Linked DNA regions of Drosophila melanogaster. The protein of the gene in region 3 interacts with the protein of the main gene of each other region in a pairwise test. Each region holds a gene or a part of one and is shown on either strand. Other genes may lie near its edges.

Region 1 (5,113 bases), 5.3 Mb from region 3:
ACTCCAGAGTAGCGTCTGTGGCCAGTTTCTTGGTCTTTTCCGGTTTACCCTTTTTCTTAACCACGCCCTCGATGCTGGCGCTCTTGTTCAGCGACTTGGGCTGCGGTTTCTGTACTTTAACCATATTATTTTTTGCTTTTTTGACAGATGCGTAAAAACTCGAGCAAAACTATATTTAAAATGCACCACAACCACACGTGCTACGCTTTAATATCGATATGTTCAGAATCGCAAAACGTAGCTACAGTCGATATCGGGAACTATTTTCATTACCGATGTCTCAGGCACGGTCACAACTTTAGCCAATACACACCCCCTTCGCAGGGCCGAGCACCAATAGCAGCTGTTTCACCAAAACCGATTGGAAAATTGACCGTTATAGCATATCGATTTCGATTTGTATCCCATCTCTATTTCTCCCTTAGAAGATAAAATTAAATTTTTTAATTTTGTAATGTAATATAGAAATTATGATGATGATTATATGATTGAGTATTTCTACTCTAATCCAACAAAAAAACAAGTGGCTACGTTACTTGCTTTGCTTTCTTTAATTAGGGTACTATTTACATAGCAAACAGTTATTTTAAGTAAATAATTCTAAGAATAGTCAAATTCCGCAAGCTGCACGCGTGCCTAATCGCCTCAACAGGACACAGAATGTCCTTGACTCACACGCCGCCACACACAAAGCGCCCACGCATCACATACACATACGATGGATCCGCGCACATGGAACATTAAAAGTACCGACACATGGCATCTCCCATGGAGCACCAAATTGGGGACTCCCCAGACACACAGTACATGCTAAAGATATTCTTGCAACAAGGATTGCTATGTGGGCATACGTGTGTGCTTGTGACAACTTTCTGGCACGTGACTGGAGACGAGAAAACTTTGCTGGCTTAAGGCAATTACAATATGAAGGAGTCCTAGCGTGTACGTTTAAAGCTTCAGCTTCTTGGCATCCGCCTTGGCGGTATCCTTTTTCGGTCGCTTTTTGGATGCTGTAGCCGCTGCGGTATCCTGCAGTTTGTGGAAGAAAGCCTTTGAGGACTTCAGAGCTCCCTGGTCGTTGCTGCTGGCATTGATCTGCAAGAAAATCGTTTAAAGTTTGATTCATTTAGAATTCAAAATCGCTCAAGAATAGCAATTAAATACAAAACATAAAACAGAGATAAACTAAAATGTTATATACCTTTTGAACATTGCGATTCTTGGTGATTGTCTTGAGCAGCTTGGCATCCGCTTCCTTCTTTGTGGGCGCCTTGCCCTCCTTGGCTCGCTGAAGCTCGCGCTGCTCCAGAGCCGAGTGGATGGCCCGCTGCTTTTGCTTCTTTTTGCGGCGCTCGCGGTTCTTATCCGTTCGATCGCGTTCGGTCTTGCCAAGTGGAGCGTGCTTGGGTCCGCGGAACACCTCCTCGGGTGCCAGCAGCTTGGCATCGCTCACCGCCAGCGGGGCCACCTCTTCCATGTGAACTGCTGGTGTGTTCGTTACGATCTTGATCTCCGGCGCCACCGGTTTCGGCGTGAAGTGGAAATTGGAGAGGGCGTCCAATTTAAGGAATAGGGAACGCATTGCCCGCTTGATTTCTTGGTGTTCTTTCGGTTCCGGACCAGTTTTGTCATCGGCATCGCGATTGGGATCGAGTTTTTCCATTTCGCGCTGATACTGCGCCTCGTAGATCTGCGACAGCGATTGTTTTGATTTCTCCTGGTCAAGCACAAGTTGTTTTCTGTACTCTTGCGGGGTGTTCACCGGTCGCACAGTGCGCTCCACATCGTCCCATGCTTTGTCGCGAATACGCTGCTTAATTATGTCCTCGATGGAGCGGTTATCCTCTTCCGTGATTGGCGCCGTTGGCCTGGTGGTCGAATCGAAGTCGAGAATCTCCTCAAGCAGTGAGTTCTGGGGCCGATTGGCTGCCTTTACTTCGCCTTTGAGCTGCCAAGGCTTCTCGCCTAGGACAATGTCTTCGTAGTCGCGGATGCGTTGAAACAAACGAGCCTCTCTCATCTCATTGGATGATTGGGACGGTGGCTCTGTGGGTTGTGGCTCCTCCTCTTCTTTCTCCGAATCCGAGTCTGAATCGCTGGCAGGTTCTATGCCACTTTTTGCCACGAATTCGGATTCATCTATTTCGCTGGCCGCCTCATCTGGATCTTGATCATTTTCAGGTTCATCATCGCCCTCGTCTCCTTCGCTTTGATCAGAATCGCCCTCTTTGGGATTTGCATCCTCATCCGGTTCATTTTCATTTTCACTCTCGTTTTCATTGAAGAAATCTTTCTGCTTGCCTTTGTTAATCTTTTTAGAATGCTCTGTCAGTTCCTCATTCATGTCAAAGAAGTCCGCATAGTTGACATTCCCCTCCTCATCGTCCTCCTCATCTTCGCCAAGACCAAAATCCTCTGCGAAATGATCTATATCATCGGCCTGCTCAACGCGTTTCTTGCTGTTCAGGCGGCGCATCTCCTTGGCATCCTCCTGCTCCAGGAACTCATTCATCTCTTCCAACTTGAAGAAGGTATCGTCCACCACAGAGTTGCGTAGTCGCTTGTTTCGTTTGTCTTTCGGCGGCGCGGTCTTCTGCTTTTGTAGCCCTCCATCCTCGTCGCTGAAGTCTGATTCCTCATCTTGTTCCTCATCGCCTGAGTCTTCAGCTTGTATTACTTCGTCTTCTTCCTCTATTTCTTCACCATCGTCCAGTTCAATGCCCAGGTGCTGCTCGCGCATCGCCGTCAGCCTGGCGGTTTGCTCCAGCACCTGTTGGAACACTAGTTCGTTGCGAATCTCCAGTTGCTGCCAGATCTGCTCCTCGTCCATTTGCTCCAGCACCAATTCCGGCAGCAGTTCCTTCTTGTTCGCCACATCCTCGCTGATGCTAACGGCGTATGTCTGCTGGATAAGCTGCTCGATGGCATTCACTTGTTCCGGCTGTGGCCTGAAATATAAATTGTTTTGACTACGTTTGAAAAAACACGTGCGCGGTCTTTGGAAGGAAAACAAACTGGAGAAAACGCTCTGGATTCTTGGTCAGCTGCTCGAAGTTCTCTGCGATTTCCTTGAAGACATTCGCCTCCTTGGATTTTTTACTTCCAATCATTTTTACTACTGCTTTCTGTGCTTAATTAAATGAAATATATATTCCAACAATTCGAGCGCAAGAGCGGGTCCAAAAACAACAACCAGTTGGTGAGAGATGGAACAGATACATAGAGATGAGCGCGTGATACAAGTACAAGTTTTTCCAAGCTTAAAAACTTTATGCGAGTTGGAATCCTGTTTTGAGCCAAAATTTGTTATTCCAAAAATAATAAATATATTTAACTTGAAGAAAACAAAGCTCTAAAAAAAATCATAATTGCTTACACAGTAGACCAGAAGCCGTATATCGTGACAAGGAAATCGATAATTTATCGAAGGCCTTTGCCACCACCAAGCCAGCTGTAGGCGGCTTTTTACAGGCGGAGTCCGTTCACAAAAACTATGCCCAACTAGAAGATGGATTCGAAGTTCTTTAAACTGCTCCTGCTGGGCGGCGCCGTGCGCTTCTACTTCTGTCGCACGCCGCTGGCTCCGATGATTGGCAACCGAGTGGAGTTCGCGACACCTTTAAATTCACACAAGCGCAGTAAGTAAACAAAGTAGACATCAAATAGATGAACAAGTCTGAATGGAGTTATTCTTGCAGTGCAAGAGGGGATATTTCTTCTACAGAGTGGCATTGATCCCTATCTGGGCGACCTGGTACACGAATCGCCGCTGATACTCAGCGCGCTCTCCGGATTGTTTCAAAAATACCCGCAGTTTCTGCCGATATTCTACATAATCCTGGATATCTGCACGGCGGCCCTGCTTTATGCGATGAGTCTGAGATTCGTCAAGCAAAAGCAGGATCAGCAGGACAAGGAGCGAAAGGAGTATGCCAAGGATACGGAAGAGCTGCAGTTTGGCCCGCTGGACAAGCTTGACATTCCGGAACTTGTGATCGTGGCATATCTTTTCAGTCCACTGACTGTTATGAGCTGCATTGGAATGACCTCCACCGTGATAAGCAATCTGTTCCTGGCTTTCTTTTTCTACTGCCTCGTGAAGGGAATGCTCATTCCATGCCTTCTAGTCCTCGCGTTCGAAACTGTCCGCAGCTTCTATCCCATTGTACTTATAGCACCACTGCTCCTGGTCTTTTCACGGAATTCGGTCAGGAGGGGTGTGGCTATAGCGGCGCTCTTTATCGTCAGTTGTCTAATCGTGGCAGTTGCGAACTATTTTGTGCTGAACAGCTGGAACTTCCTGGATGGAACGTTGGGTTTTATGTAAGCAAGAACTATCTTATTAGTTATCTGTTTGTATTTTTACGTATTTAACTATCTTACAGATTTTATTTCCGCGATCTACAGCCAAATATCGGTCTCTTCTGGTACTTTTTTACTGAAATGTTTGAGCACTTCCGCACCATGTTCCTAATCACATTCCAATTGAATGCCACCGTATTATACCTGGTGCCACTAAGTATTAAGCTGCGCAAGGAGCCCCTACTGCTAGCCACGGTATTGGTGGCCCTTATGGCCGTTTTTAGGGCGTATCCCAGCCTGGGCGATGTCGGCTTTTATCTGGCCTTGCTTCCGCTGTGGAAAAGATGTTGGAAATGTAAGTTATCTGGCTCACGTAGTTATTTCAACTGCTAAGCACTTTGGTAATTTCTTTCAGTCATGGCCCATGGCTTTGTGGTCTTTACGTTCTTCCTGGTCACTCTATCTATGATGGGAGCCCTTTGGCATTTGTGGATCTATGCAGGATCGGCAAATGCCAATTTCTATTTCGGTGCCACTCTTGCGTTTTCCACTGGGCAGATATTTCTAATCACCGATCTGCTGTTCGCGCACGTTAAACGTGAGTTCTGCTTGTTCAATGGTCAGAAGATTCTGATCGATGGCGAGGAAGCGAGGATAGTCTTAAAGTAAGCATTAACAGTATCAGTATGACGGACAGAATCCAGGAACTTTGTACAGATGCAGAATGCGCTTCCTAATGGCAGCCGAGCATACTCTTAAGATAAGTTAACTCCGAACAATATCAGATTAAACAAAATATTTTATTTGATTG
Region 2 (4,856 bases), on a different chromosome or scaffold from region 3:
ACGATCACTTGTGCATACCTACATACGTATTGATTAAATTAAGTGAAAATTCCAAAGTCCATGTAATATGTGAACCACTCAAATGAATCATGTTTCCCGCTGTGTCAACTGGCTTATCAAAGTTTTGCCTTTTGTTTTAGTTGATAAGAAATAACACAGAAAATGACTCTCAAAATGAGAATGTTGGGATAAAAATGGCAACCTAAAATTGGCAATGGTATCTAAGCAAAAACAAAACAAAAAAACTCAGAAAGAACAGCGAGTTAGATTTTTTGGCCAAGTTTTATGAACGAAAACCGTTAAACGGCAACCGTTAGCTTTGATTTAATTAGAAGATTTTTGTGGGCTTGCTACAGTTTATCAAGCCCCAAAGACAACACACGATTTCAGCATCAAACTGTGGCCATGGAGGGGATTTGGGCTCTGCAGTGGCTGGACTGATTCGTATGCTTCTCTCACTGGCTCTTAAAGCAGGTTTTCCATTTGGCCTTTGGCATAAGCCCCGCACTGAACTACTCGAGTGCCCAGCAAAAGCCGCACAAGTCGCTCTCTGTGTGTGTTTGGCTTTGTGTGCCAGTGTTTGGGGCACACAAATATGAATAAAGGCTACAGTGGATGCTCGCGAAGCGAAACAAAGAACATTGGTGGAGTGCCAACACTATGACATACCATTTATTCAACTAAAAGGAGTGCCACTGTTATCGGGATTGCACACGAGCTCCACCTAGCGGCGTTAACAATTACTGCTCGCAATAACTTAATAATGAAAAGTTTTTTTAATTAAGTAGCTCACCATACCCGATGACCACTGTTCAAGGTGTAGTAAAACATCGGGCAACGAGAAATATGCATGATTTTGTAGCTGCCGTTGTTTTTGTGATTATTCCTCTCTTTTTTGCGGCTGCTGCGTGTAAAATCAATAAATTCGAGCGGGTTCAAGAGGTGACGACAACGTCGAAAATGCCTATGACCTTCAGGCCCCTAGCTGACCTTCGCCATGGCCCCATACCCCCTTGTTGCCCCCCGCATGCTACCATTTTCCGCCTTGGCAATTAAATTTCGTATGTAATTTTTTACACTTTTTTTTTGCTGGCCGGCACTTCTTAATTATCGTTGTTAAGCTGGTTATGGTTTGTTTTGCTTTTGCTGCTTTGTGCCTCGCTTTTTGTTCAAATTTATTCCCCGCGACCAGTGGCATTCATTAATTTCTTGCCTTATTCGCTGCCCTCGCTTCGCTCTTTTGGTTATTGATATTAATAAAACTTTTCTTCTTTCCTCAGCCCAAAAAGAAGTCCAAAAACAAATCGGCCAGCAATCGTGGTTGCTCAACAAGTTACGTCAGATGCGTTGGTGGGGATTGCTGTTTCAGGGTTTTTTGCCCGGATCCCGGAATACAAAACAAAAGATTAAGCTTTTGAGGGATTAGGATTACGGCCTTGTGTACCGGGCAAACAAATGTGCAAGTCTTTGGAAAAGCGCAGATAAGCGGGCGAATTATGGAATTTTACTTGTTTTTTTTTTTAATTTCTCTGCCGCCATCTGGAGATGAAAGAACCTTAATGAAAAACCTTCCAAACATTTAAAGATATTGTATGTTTATTTCCATAGTTTTATGGCTCTTCTTAAAACCTAACCTTCCTTTAATTGCCTTTAAATGTCAGTCTTTCTTAGCCAAAGGTTATACTAATATCTAGGTCGACCAACTAACTTTAGTTTAATTACACAGAGTGGCATTGACCGGAAACCTGCAATTTAAATTGTTCGTTCGCCTTGAACTTTAACCGACTTGTCGTTTGTATGTGCACCCTTGCATCTGTGCTTCAGTTTTTTGTGGGTCACCATTTACTGTTTCTTTTTAAAGATTTTTAAGGGTTTTACTTCTTGTGATATATTTTCTTTAATCTTAAATCCTTTTAAGTATATAACTCACCATCTTTAGCATTTGTTGCCCCCGTTGTTGTTGTTGTTGTGGTGGTGGTGGCCATAGTTTTAGTTTTTGATTTTATTGTTGCTGGTGTTGTGCAGGCAGAGGCCTCTGCCGACGCCGACGTCGCTGCTCTGTAGAAAGCCGATGTTGTTGTTGCCGATGTGGATGTGGTTAGTTTTGTTGTTGTTGCTTCCACGGCGCCAGCAGCTGACAAACTTCGCGAGCAGTGTATTAGTCACCTGTTCTTTACAGGTGCAAGAAGTAGGGGGTGGCAACTGGATGGGCTTTGTATGCGTATGTCAGCTGATAGGGGGGAAAAACGCGAGATTTGTTAATCAGCGTGGAAAAAGGCGAGGATGGGGTTTTCCAGGTGTTCCGTAACCAGGAAGTGCACAAAAATTAAAACAACAAGAATTAAAAGTCATGAAGCTAGTTTTGGTTATCTTGGTAAGAATCGACTTTATTTGCGGGTTTCATTCATTTAGCAAGTATTTGGAATTTATTTTAGTAGGGATTTTGTTTTTTTGATCCATTGTCCACCATTAAGGTTTTAAGTTAACTTTCGTTACTTTTAGATATCAAATCTATATATTGATATTTTGGGCACTCTGCTGCTTCTCTAATTTTGGTTCACTTAAGTGGCCAAGACTTTCTATTTAATATTTTTGCTTAGCACACAAGCAGCTGCCTTAATTTATAATTGAATTTATCAAATTTATTTCTGTTATTATTTCGCTTGCTCTTTTGTTTTTATTTTATTTTTGTTGCATGTGCGTCGGTGTTTATGCATGTGTGCGCGCGTGTGTGTGTGTGTGTGTGCGTGCTTATGCGAGAGTTGGTGCACTGTGTGTTTGTTGTTGTTGCTAGTGACGCGTACGCGTGTTTTCTCGCTCGCACCTGCACGTTTTCACTGGCTCGATTAGTTGCCGCACGCTGCTAACGGCCGCTGCACATGTTTTCGGTAATTTTACGCGATTATTTGTTTAGTTTCTTGTGCAATTTCACAGTTGTTTTTTGACGGCGACTCGCGGAGCGAGCACGAATTTGGTCACACCACATCGCCAGTGTGGCCAGGCAGGGGTCAGCGCCAAAAAATCAGGCGGCGCAGCTGAGAAATACCAAAACATATGACTTTGCAGAAAATACTGCTAACTTTTAACAGCACGCAAGTAACAGAATTCTGTTAAAAAAAAATAATTGTATTGACTTAAGTTCTACAAGAACAATACTAATTTCTCTAAATTTCAAGAAACAATGCGGTTCCTCTAGCCTTTTAATCGGAACGGTAAAGCAACTAGCTAGAGATCTTATAGAAACTAACAAGTTAAAATCCAAGGTTAACAGTACATTAAAATACAACTATCCGGCAACGTCAAAGTCATCTTTTCCACTTTCTGGCAGCCTGCTTTCAAAGTTTTTAAAACAATGAAATAACTGAATTCTCATATTGCACTTTAAAGAAATGTGGATTGCAACTGAGGGCAAATAACAATAATATAAAATTGTTCCTTCATTTTTGTTTTGTTAATATATAAAAATATCATGTTATTTGACAGAATGTTTTTTATAGTTTTAATACAACATTTTCTTGAGTTCTTTAATATTTTTGAATTCAACGTTTTTATTACGACTCCAAACCTATTTAACAGCCAACATAAATATTAAAGCCACTGAAAATTTTTCTAAGGCTAAACTCTCTTTTTTCTATATTTTTCTCGAAGTTCAAAAGGGATAACTGACCTTGGCAGAAATTCGTTTACAATTATTCACTATTGTTTTAGACCCAATAAACATTTTTTTACAATTTGACAACAAATTTGTGACCTTGACAAGAAAATATGACACCAATATTTCGGCAACAACAATCGGCTTAGGTTGATAAGTGAGGTAATTTTGGATGACGAAGATCGCCTGACTCTCCCACTCGCTCCCAGTTTTTTTTTTTTTTTTTTCTGACATTTTGTTGCTGTTTTTGTCACCCAATTTGCACGGGTATTTATTTGTTTTTTGATTTTTTTTTTAGTATTCCGCACGGCTGTTGAGTGAAAGTTGCCACCGTTTAGAGTAATGTGTGTTGTTGTTGCTGCTGCCACGCCCACTGCCCGCCCGCCTTATCGTCACCTGTCGCTGGATGTGAGTGAGGTGCTAATTCGACAGTCAATTGTGTAAAAAAGAGTACGGCTAGCAATTGCATAATATCAAAGCTAAAAACCGAAACTCGAGCAAAAATATTTTGGGCGCCAGAGATCAGAGAAAAAGAAGGCGATTAACCAACTCCAAGAAAAGCCATAAAAATCGACAGAACCGAAATGAGTTTTTTTTTTTGTTTGTAACTCGGGGGGAAACGTGTTCTTCCCATTGCCGAAATCAATTTTGTTGCAGAATTAAAAGCCACAAGCTGGGGTCATAAAATATCTGAAAGAGATCAGTTGTGAGATCCCAGAGTTTCAAGTCAATGTCCTTTGCAATCCACTTCGATCTTTGATTGCTCTTGATGCCCTCAGAAAAGGTATACTAAAATAGTCAGGCGATTAGTTTTATATTTTTAACTTTAATAGCAATACTTGATAGCACTTCTTGTGGAATATTAACAATATGCAATAGTTCAACTTATATAAACTTATAACCCATATCAAGCTGTACCAGCCAAGAATCATTATAATTCCTCGAATTGAAGGGTATTGAAACGCTGTTTTTAAAAATCAGTGCTTCCTCGTTTTTTAGTTGAATTTCGTTCTTTTTTTTTATCATCTTTGGTTGTAAATCGTCTTGGCCCTTGCAGGTTTGGCCTGTTTGCAGACCTCTTGTTGGCCAAAAGGGCCACAGAACGAGTTCTGACCACCGCCGATCGAGCTGCAAATGGTTCAATCGATCGATCGATCGATCACCATATGAAAGTCCCAAGTGGACAGGAGATAAGTTTTCCTTC
Region 3 (3,709 bases):
CTCGTACTGATCGAGCCCCTGAAGTTCAAAGTTCTCGACTCCAAAGGTGCCACTGAATTCTCCCGAGTTGATTTCGAACGACCTCTGCGCCGCCTTCATGGGTGCCATAACGGGGATTCCAAATCTCGGGCTACCATTTTGCAGGACGACCCTGAATGCCTCCAATCCGTCCACAATTACGCTGGAGAAAGAGCGTCCTTGGGCTGAAAATTAACTATGATTATTAAATTTTCCCTAAAATTTTCTTCATATTCTCACCTGACAAAGGTTCGGCAACTTCGGCACCTTGACAGCTGGCCAGGGCCACGATAAGCGCAATCAGGAATGCAGACTTCATTCTTAGCACAGAACACTAGTTAACCCTTTTGGCAATCAAAATCCACTAGTCGAAGCTTGCCAAATCCATTCCTCTTATATAGGAAAATGACCATTGAGATAATCTATCGGTACACAGCACAAAAATATCAGTGTCTAGATTAAAAAATTTTAATATTAGGAAAACTTCTATGTACAGTGAATAAACAGTGAATGCTTTCTTGGCTTATATTTACAAAAACATGGTTGAAATATGGAACAATTTGTTATTTATTCTTAAATAATTAGTGTTTATAAAGGTTTAAAGAAATATTAGGGGCATTCCTCTCATATCAAAATTATTGTTTATTGACACAAAATGGTGAGGTATTGAGTACAGTGCTCTAAGATATTCCCTTTGATATAAAAATCATATTCTGAAAATCGCTATATCTTATTATATTATTTTGTATGAATCTACATTTTTTTTCTGTGCATGTGAAGTAGCTTTATTAATCGGCAAATAATTTGGCAAAGTGTTTTATGACAGATAGGACACAACTTGAGATTAGACCGTCTTTGAAATATAATGAAAGCTGATGGATGTTGTAAATATTAAGCTTTTTAAAACATCGTTTAAATTTCCCAATGCAATGAACAAAAAAAAACCCACCGAAAGCCAGTCCCGCAAGAAAAGAGCCAGGTGACGAATTCTTGATTCATAAACGGTTGTTTAATGACCGATGATTTGTTTACCACTCGAACTCGGGGGGAATGCAGGCCTCCTTCTCTCCACCCTCACCATCACCACCGGCACCGGAGATGATCTCGGCGATGCTGATGTCGTCCAGAACGCTGTTGACGGCGGGCAGGGCAATACTCTCGATGGTATCGGCAATCAGATCTTCGTTCTCATTGATGGCCAGCTCCACGGCCTCGGCCAAGTACTCATTCATCTTCTCGTTGATGCTGCCATCGCCCAGGATGCCCTCGATCTCGGAATCAACCTCACCCAAGTGGGTGCGGACCTCCAATGACTTCAGCTTCAGGTTGCCGCTGATCACGCCGAGTGAGTACTTCATAGTGCCCCAGATAACCATATCCTTGATGGCGAATTTGGCATGTCCGGCACCGATCAGATTGATGGTAAATCCGTACTTCTTTAGCAGCACACTCAAATCGTATTGGGTATCCACGTTCACGTCGCGGAAAGTGAACTTGTAGGTCACCTTGCTGGTGATGGCGTTGACCTTCATCTCATCGATATCAAAATCATTCAGACCGTTCAGGCGGAAGTGATCAATGGTTCCCTGAGCCTTCAGCACGCTGCTATCGATGTTGATATCCTGATGGTCAATTCTAAGAGGAGCCAATGGCGGCAGGCCGACACTGGTAAAGCCACAGGGCATCTGCTCCTTAATGCCCTCGATCACATCCACAATCGTGCTGGAGATCGACTGGGTTTCTAGAGAATCAAATGGATAGGTATGCTAAATATTTGGGCATTGGAAATCATCTGGAATACTCACCAATGGGCTGGCCCATGGAAGCCGCACTGGCAACGGCCACAAAAGCCAAAATAGCCACGAAGATTTTCATTATTGCTTTGACTGAGAGTCCTACCGACTGATCGTAGTACCTACGGTATTTATACTACTCAGTCGTCCGGTCGCACGAGTCGCTTTTTATAGACGATCAACATTTCAGGTGGGGTTGTGATAAGGTGGCTTCGTACTCGTGAACGATTTGATTAGCCACCGGGCGTTCAATCGATGGCCTATTGCTGTCTTATCTCGGCCAACGATTCCCCGGTTGGCAAATTTTTTAATTTTAATGATTAGTTATATATACATACATGGGGGTACTTATCCTAAGGAAATGATCAGATTTAAAAAGACAGTTTTCACTAAAGTACAAACATTGCCTTCTTGTGGAGGAGTGTCAAGATCAAAGTCTATTTGGGGTGTGTCCCCGCTTTGTTATGGTTAGAAGGCTTCAAAAAAGTGTGTTTTTCTAAAACGTTTTCTAAAAAAGAAGGTGTAGGATTAGTGGTTGACTTGGAAACAAGATTTTAAAATCATTAGTTTCGCGATTACAGAGTACTCATACATTAAATGTATGGTCTTACGAAAACTTTCCATCAATCGATATTTTAAGGTCATGCAGGTGTTGAAGCCAATAGGAAACATTTTAACAAAGTAATTATCAAAATTGAAAACGACTACCAAAAATTTAGCATGATTATAATCTTCTAAAGAAGTCTGTTTGGAATTAAAATTCTCCATGCACTTCTGCGGATCTAAAGTCTGCGAAAAGTTTGTTTATTGATTAACAATCAAGTGATTTTTAAGTGCATTGAGTGATTTATGAATGATATCTCGACTGGGGTATTTAAAGGTCTTACGAATGGATCTATTAATAAAAAAATCCAGACGATTAACACCTGATGGCTAGTCAAATACTCTCTTAACGAATTATTGGCTTTAAAGTTAACGCCAGTCCTAGCCCAATATGTTTATCAATAAGTAGTTTACCCATTGTGTTAGTTCCCCTTGTAAAATCGTAATCAGAATAGCAATAAATCACTTTTTAGTACGCCTTTAAGGTTCTAAAGAGTACAAAAAAGCCACTGAAGCTCTGAAGACAAAAGAATTTACCCCCACTGAGTGATACGAATCGGTCATCCAGTGTAATCCGCCGACACCTGCATGGAGTGGTTGACGCAGTTTTACCCCCGGTAGACCAGTTATTTGTGTATAATCCAGATCGCAATGATAGGCAATATATATTCTTTAAGTGATATTGACAATCGATTGGCCAATTGGACGTCGAGATTAGGCCAAAACAAGCCACTCAGGCGAAACAAGTGCTCCCTTTTTTTACAAACCACTTGCCGAATGATTTGATTCCTTCGTTTTTAAATCGGAAGCCTATCGTGAATTGGGCGTTATGTTCATGGCAGCTCCGCTAATCAAAAGTAGCGATTAGCATTTGTATTTGTTAACCTGGTTAAGTGATCCCTTCCCTTCCCCTCGGCTTGCCCTTCGAATCCGCTAGCTTTGCTATAAAAGCCACTGACCGGCTGGGACAATCAATCAGGTGGCTGGCTATACAATGAAAGCTATCGTTTGTGTTTTTGTGACCCTTTTGGCCTGCGTAGCGGCCTACGATGTGGAGCTGCTCACCGAGGAGCAATGGGACCAGCTGGTGGCGCGTAATCGTAAGTGTCTTAAGCCATCCATCACCTGACCAAACAGAGGACTAATTGCAATGTGATTCCCCGCAAACAGCCGCCAAGCCCGATACTCAGGGTCTGATCTTGAACGGATCGGTGAAGAAGGCCATCAATGGACTGCTGAACCAAATGCCTTGTGGTTGGCCCCAATATGGAATTCCACCACTGGATCCCTACACC
Region 4 (4,954 bases), on a different chromosome or scaffold from region 3:
ACCGGCTTAGGCGGCGACAGGAGAAGTTTGTCCGGCAATTAGCGGCAGGTAATGGCTCCGCCGACATATGCTATTATTCGGGTTATTACTTTATTTCAACCTATTATTCCCGTCCATGTGGCCCCGGCGGGCAAACGCATTTGGCGTAAATATATGTCATTGATTTGCAGTTAAGGAGACGGAGCTCCGGATCGATGTCATCCCCATGGCAGCCATTACGCATCAGTGTCCTTCGAAGCTGACTCTCCATCTTCGTGTCGTGTCGTCAGGCGCCTTGGGGCCATGATATATTATGGCCTGTCGCCTTGTCTTGTTTATTTGCCGCACTTTGGGGGAAAGGGCGGGAAATGGGATGCTTCTTTTTTTATTGTTATGACGCATATCTTCTCGGAGAAATTGAGACGCTCTTGATTTCCTGGTGATTTATTGTCCATCCAAATTGATTGAATATTTACTAAACGTCTACGGCATCGTCGGCTAAATGGTTTACAGCTGCGCCTGCTCTCCATCGATCCCAAATCGAAATCGATTGGCGAGAAGTCTGCAAAAAAGTCAATTTTGTTAATCAACACGAACGACTTAATCCAAATTGAATGAACTCGAACCTGGGAGCGTTGCCAAAGCGGATCAGCCGCTACACATCATCCGGGCCAAATGCGAAAAATAAAAGCGGGCGCAAATTTACACATTTTTCGCATTTCTGCACCAGATTCCGCCCCGTTTTTCCTCCGAATTTTCCTCCGTTTTTCAGCTACGAAACATTTGCCAATAAGTGACTGAAGCGACCGAACTGAAACAAACCAAACCAAACCAAACCGAACCGAACCGAAACAAATCGGCTCAAGGCTCAGGGCTCAACGAGCTCAGGTGAGAGTTTGCAGGCCTAAAAAAGCGAAAATTGAAAAACGCAGCTGCCTGGGCCATAATAAAGAACCAAAACACGCAGCAAAAACCGAGAAAAGGGGATTCAGCTGCGGCCACTGAACTTCAGAATACTCTAGCAGATTGTAAATTTAATTTTTATTTACTAAATCAATTTACGGGAATATATTTAATAACGATAGCCACTGGCTTGGCAAAAATATAATGAGATATCAACAGTTGGCTCTAGCAACCATTAAATAGATTGGAATTCAAAATGTAAGATGTTTAATTAGATCAACTTGGTATATGCTTCTTAAGATCAAACCTTTTAAGAATACATCTTCAAAGCAATGCCGACTCATACCACAAAAAAGAGGATGGTTCAGAATCATGCATACAGGTATTAAAGTGATCTATTCACAGATTTCTAGATTTCAGATTAGTCCTAAGCTCTGAATTACTCATCATGTAATCATTTAAAGGCAAACTCCTCGGAAGATCTGCAGTACACAAAGCAGATGAAGGAATCGTAATATCCTTTGAAGGGAAGGGCATGTAGACACACACACAAACAGTTCCTTTGATAAGGCAAGAGGGAGAGAGTGAATTGCGTTTTGTGGACGGGCCAGTGTGTGTGCGGGTGGGCGTGGCACTGCCCACAGCCAGCTCAGCCACGCTTGAGGTGATAATGTAATAAGCACTTTTTATGACCCTGCCGGATTTAGACCTAAAATTCCACTCAACTCGGAATCCGAAGGGCATTGTTCTGTCTGTAAAGTTCGCTAGATTTTCGACGACCAACAGGCACATCCGGAATGTTGGACCCCCCCACACCCCGGAATCCAACCCGTCCATCCACATCCATTCTACTGTTTTTATTGGACGGCAAGGATTTAGATTCTAGCCTGCAGTTGTTTGGGCTCAGCTGAACATATTGTCTCGCCATATTCCATTTTTTTGGGAGCAGGACTCTACTAATTGGTGGCATTCACAATGCCCTAGAAAGGGGGGCTCCAAATGGTCGTTCGTGCAGGTGCGAAGTACATAGTACAAGGGCATATATGGGAAAATATGAAAATTTAAGACTTATCACCTTTGATTTTGGTTTATTGCTGAGTTTTTGCCTACCTGCCGAAAAAGTTTAAGGTTTATACTAGATTTTAAAATATACGATGAGCTGTACTACCTGTCTTATCTGCTTCTTTGCTGATTTATTTACATTCACATCTTTCACTTCCTGGATTTGTTTTAAATTAATTGCACTTTACACTCGCTATTGAAGATTTTCCATTGAAGATTTGTCAACAAAACAAGATCAGTGATGAGCTTTTCTAATTCTAACGATGACACGGATTACTTCTCAACTATCGATTCAGCACAGGTTAAAATACATGCTAGTAATTAAAAATGGAAACCAAGAACACCCGTTATCTATTATTGCACTAATTTTTGGTAATTGCATTTTCAAATTATCCAACTGCAATTGCGACACACACTACCAAAATTAACTTTTCCCCCAGCATCGATTGCCACGTGATGCCTGCTCCCCCCATCGATAAATAATCGATGACTTGACTAATTAGTGCAATTTTCACGTTTCATGTTCGCAAATATTCAGAGTTGTATTTCCACGGGCATTAAATTGAACAAAACCGTGACATATTCCACCGACCAATTGGCCATTAAGTGTACCCATATGGCACATTGTGTTTTTTATTTTTCGCATTTAAGAGTCTTAAGTGATTAAGCGAGCGAGACGGAGTTGTAAAGGGACATGCATCAAACATACTGTCATTAATATAAAAATGAAATTACCTTGTCGAGCACCAGATGCCATTAAAAAAGGAACGGCAGAAGGAAAAGCGCTCGAATGGGAAAAATAAGGACGAAATTGCCGCCCACTCGGTTGTTTGTTGTTGCTGTGCATCATCAAATTGAAAAATGTCAGCGATAGAGAGGAGGAAAATGGGAAATCAGAGAACAATGCGGCATTGGACAGGTAAAACGCAAAGGTAAAGGTAAACTGCCACGCCCCAGGGGCGTTCTGTTCTGTTGTCGTCCCTGTTGCTGCATCAACTTGTTGTTGTTGCTATTCTGCTGCGGACGCGGCCCAGTTGCATTGACAATCGACAAATGAGGAAAGATAATGCAGGCATTAATCTTGCTACCAGCAATTTGTCAGCGTTGCTCCATCCTGCTCCATTCCGTATTGCCATCTCTTACCGTTCGAGATGTCAGCTGCAGTTCGAGTTACTCGATTCCAGGGGCTGCCTCTTAGGGGGGCTAAAGTATCTCACAATGAGAGTATTGCAAAATATTTTATATGAGTTTATGTTATGAGTAATGTAAACTACCCTTCTGCAAACAGTCTAAAAACTTAAGACGATTTTTTTGCTATGTTATGCAGTTATTCGCTATAATACCAGCATTACTCACTGTAAGCTCAAAGTATTAGCCCAATCCCTGTCGAATATTTCCAGCGACCGCCCTGACATTCCGAAGTCCGAGAGTTTGTCCCTGCCTCTTCTAAACGCTGGCTTCATCAATTAATTTACAATTTGCCAGACGTCCGTGTCCGCATGCACAGTCTCCAGCTCCATCTCCATCTCCATCTCCAGTTCCAGTTTCAGGTCCTGTCCCAGCATCAGTGGCTCGTTCTCGTCCTGGTCTGTGTTATCCTGTGCTATGCGGTCAGCTTGGCATACTTTTTCTATTCCACTCGTGGCCCGTGGCCCACTAATGGCCATGTCCTTGCATCCTGGCACCCGTTCCACTTCATCCATTTCGCCGGGCTCTGCATCCGTAAATTGCATTGCTTGCCAACTTGTTGAAAGGCGGAGCGAACTTAAATGCTTTTCAATGTTTTTCCATGCCGTGGTACCCACTTAAGGTCACAGATAGTTCACTGGAAAAAAGGGAATTGAAATACTTGAGAAAACATATCGCACTCTTTAGTCTTAACAACTTTACTTCGATGTTACTAAAAAAACTAATTATTTTGAGTAATATATATTAACTTGCCTATCGAATGGAATCCGTTTTTGTTTTATGTGTAAGGTAGACAGTGGCGTTGTGAACCCCATTTAATGGTCACAATTTAGCTTTTAATTAGATCGGCAAATTTGTTTTCGAACCATTTTGCTCGCTCGTGCGGAGAACGAATGCGGAATACGAATTCGAAGTAGTCGGAAAAGTGCCGCCCGTTTTCCGCCCGGAATTAGAGTGCTTACGGTTTTTCATTTTAATTGTTTTTGTGCGGCGAAGATGGGTCCCTGTGGCCGCCCATCCTCCCCAGAGCTCATCTGCCGTGTCGCTGATTTATTTATTTCTATTTGCTGTTATTTAGCTGGTTCTTGTTGCTTTTTGTTCTTTATATCATTTTATTTTGTTTTATTTTATTTTATTTTCTTTCACTTCATTTTATTTTCCGCCAAACCAAGCGAGCGCAATTGCGGTCGCTGAGCGTCTGCCCCCCTGTCCCGATTTTCCTCCGTTTTCCGTCCCGCAGAAAACCCCTCTGCAGCTGTCTGCGTGCCATGCTCTAGTTTTCTATTTTTGCTTTCCCGGCCGTAATGGCAACCTTAATCACGTAATGATTTTGAGCGAGAGGCGCGGGTGTCCAAATTCCGACCAACCCGCAGCTTTTCATACTCCACCCACGATTTTCCTGCGATTTTCCTCCTGCTCCTTGCTGTTTGCTCATTCATCGCGGCTCTTGTTTTTGTATTCCGCATTTCGCAATTGGCACAAATCTCGGCACTCGCCACGCTAATGGCCAAATGCTGTGGCGCTAATTGAAATTACATTTCTTAAAGTTAAATATTTAATTGAGAGCCGCCAAGCCGAGCGGACATCATCAGCAGTCCGGCGAAGGCTTAAAAGTTGCTCGAGTGCACACAAGAGTGTGGGAAATTGGGGAAAAGTTTTGGGGGGGGAGTGGGTTTTGCGAGCATTTCCCAAAGCCTTCCATCCGGAAACTTGTGCATTTAATATGAAAAGCCTTTAAAAGTTTTATTGAGTACGCTTGTTTCAGGCGAAAGCGTAATAGAAACTAATGGAATACTGTGACCCAATTCCCATATTCAATATA

Evidence for each region.
Region 1: the proteins of CG8997 (region 3) and CG13097 interact in a two-hybrid assay, tested with the Drosophila melanogaster proteins (one large-scale study listed by BioGRID).
Region 2: the proteins of CG8997 (region 3) and Eip63E interact in a two-hybrid assay, tested with the Drosophila melanogaster proteins (one large-scale study listed by BioGRID).
Region 4: the proteins of CG8997 (region 3) and tun interact in a two-hybrid assay, tested with the Drosophila melanogaster proteins (one large-scale study listed by BioGRID).

What each region holds. Positions count from the first base shown.
Region 1 is NT_033779.5:8,511,645-8,516,757, forward strand, and holds CG13097 (uncharacterized protein), read right to left. Parts: upstream 3,225-5,113; 5' UTR 3,111-3,224; coding exon 3,016-3,110; intron 2,949-3,015; coding exon 1,202-2,948; intron 1,096-1,201; coding exon 949-1,095; 3' UTR 530-948; downstream 1-529. Other genes in the region: CG13096 (uncharacterized protein), read right to left, coding at 1-124; PIG-U (phosphatidylinositol glycan anchor biosynthesis class U), read left to right, coding at 3,509-3,638, 3,699-4,323, 4,386-4,657, 4,718-4,971.
Region 2 is NT_037436.4:3,513,903-3,518,758, reverse strand, and holds the start of Eip63E (Ecdysone-induced protein 63E), read right to left. Parts: upstream 3,009-4,856; 5' UTR 2,825-3,008; exon of another isoform or gene 2,231-2,824; 5' UTR 1,986-2,230; coding exon 1,931-1,985; intron 1-1,930.
Region 3 is NT_033779.5:13,843,370-13,847,078, forward strand, and holds CG8997 (uncharacterized protein), read right to left. Parts: upstream 1,957-3,709; 5' UTR 1,894-1,956; coding exon 1,824-1,893; intron 1,760-1,823; coding exon 1,047-1,759; 3' UTR 546-1,046; downstream 1-545. Other genes in the region: CG33306 (uncharacterized protein), read right to left, coding at 1-203, 259-337; CG7916 (uncharacterized protein), read left to right, coding at 3,409-3,514, 3,585-3,709.
Region 4 is NT_033778.4:15,792,047-15,797,000, reverse strand, and holds the start of tun (tungus), read right to left. Parts: upstream 3,002-4,954; 5' UTR 2,051-3,001; intron 1-2,050. UniProt on the Drosophila melanogaster protein: Mediates the side-chain deamidation of N-terminal glutamine residues to glutamate, an important step in N-end rule pathway of protein degradation.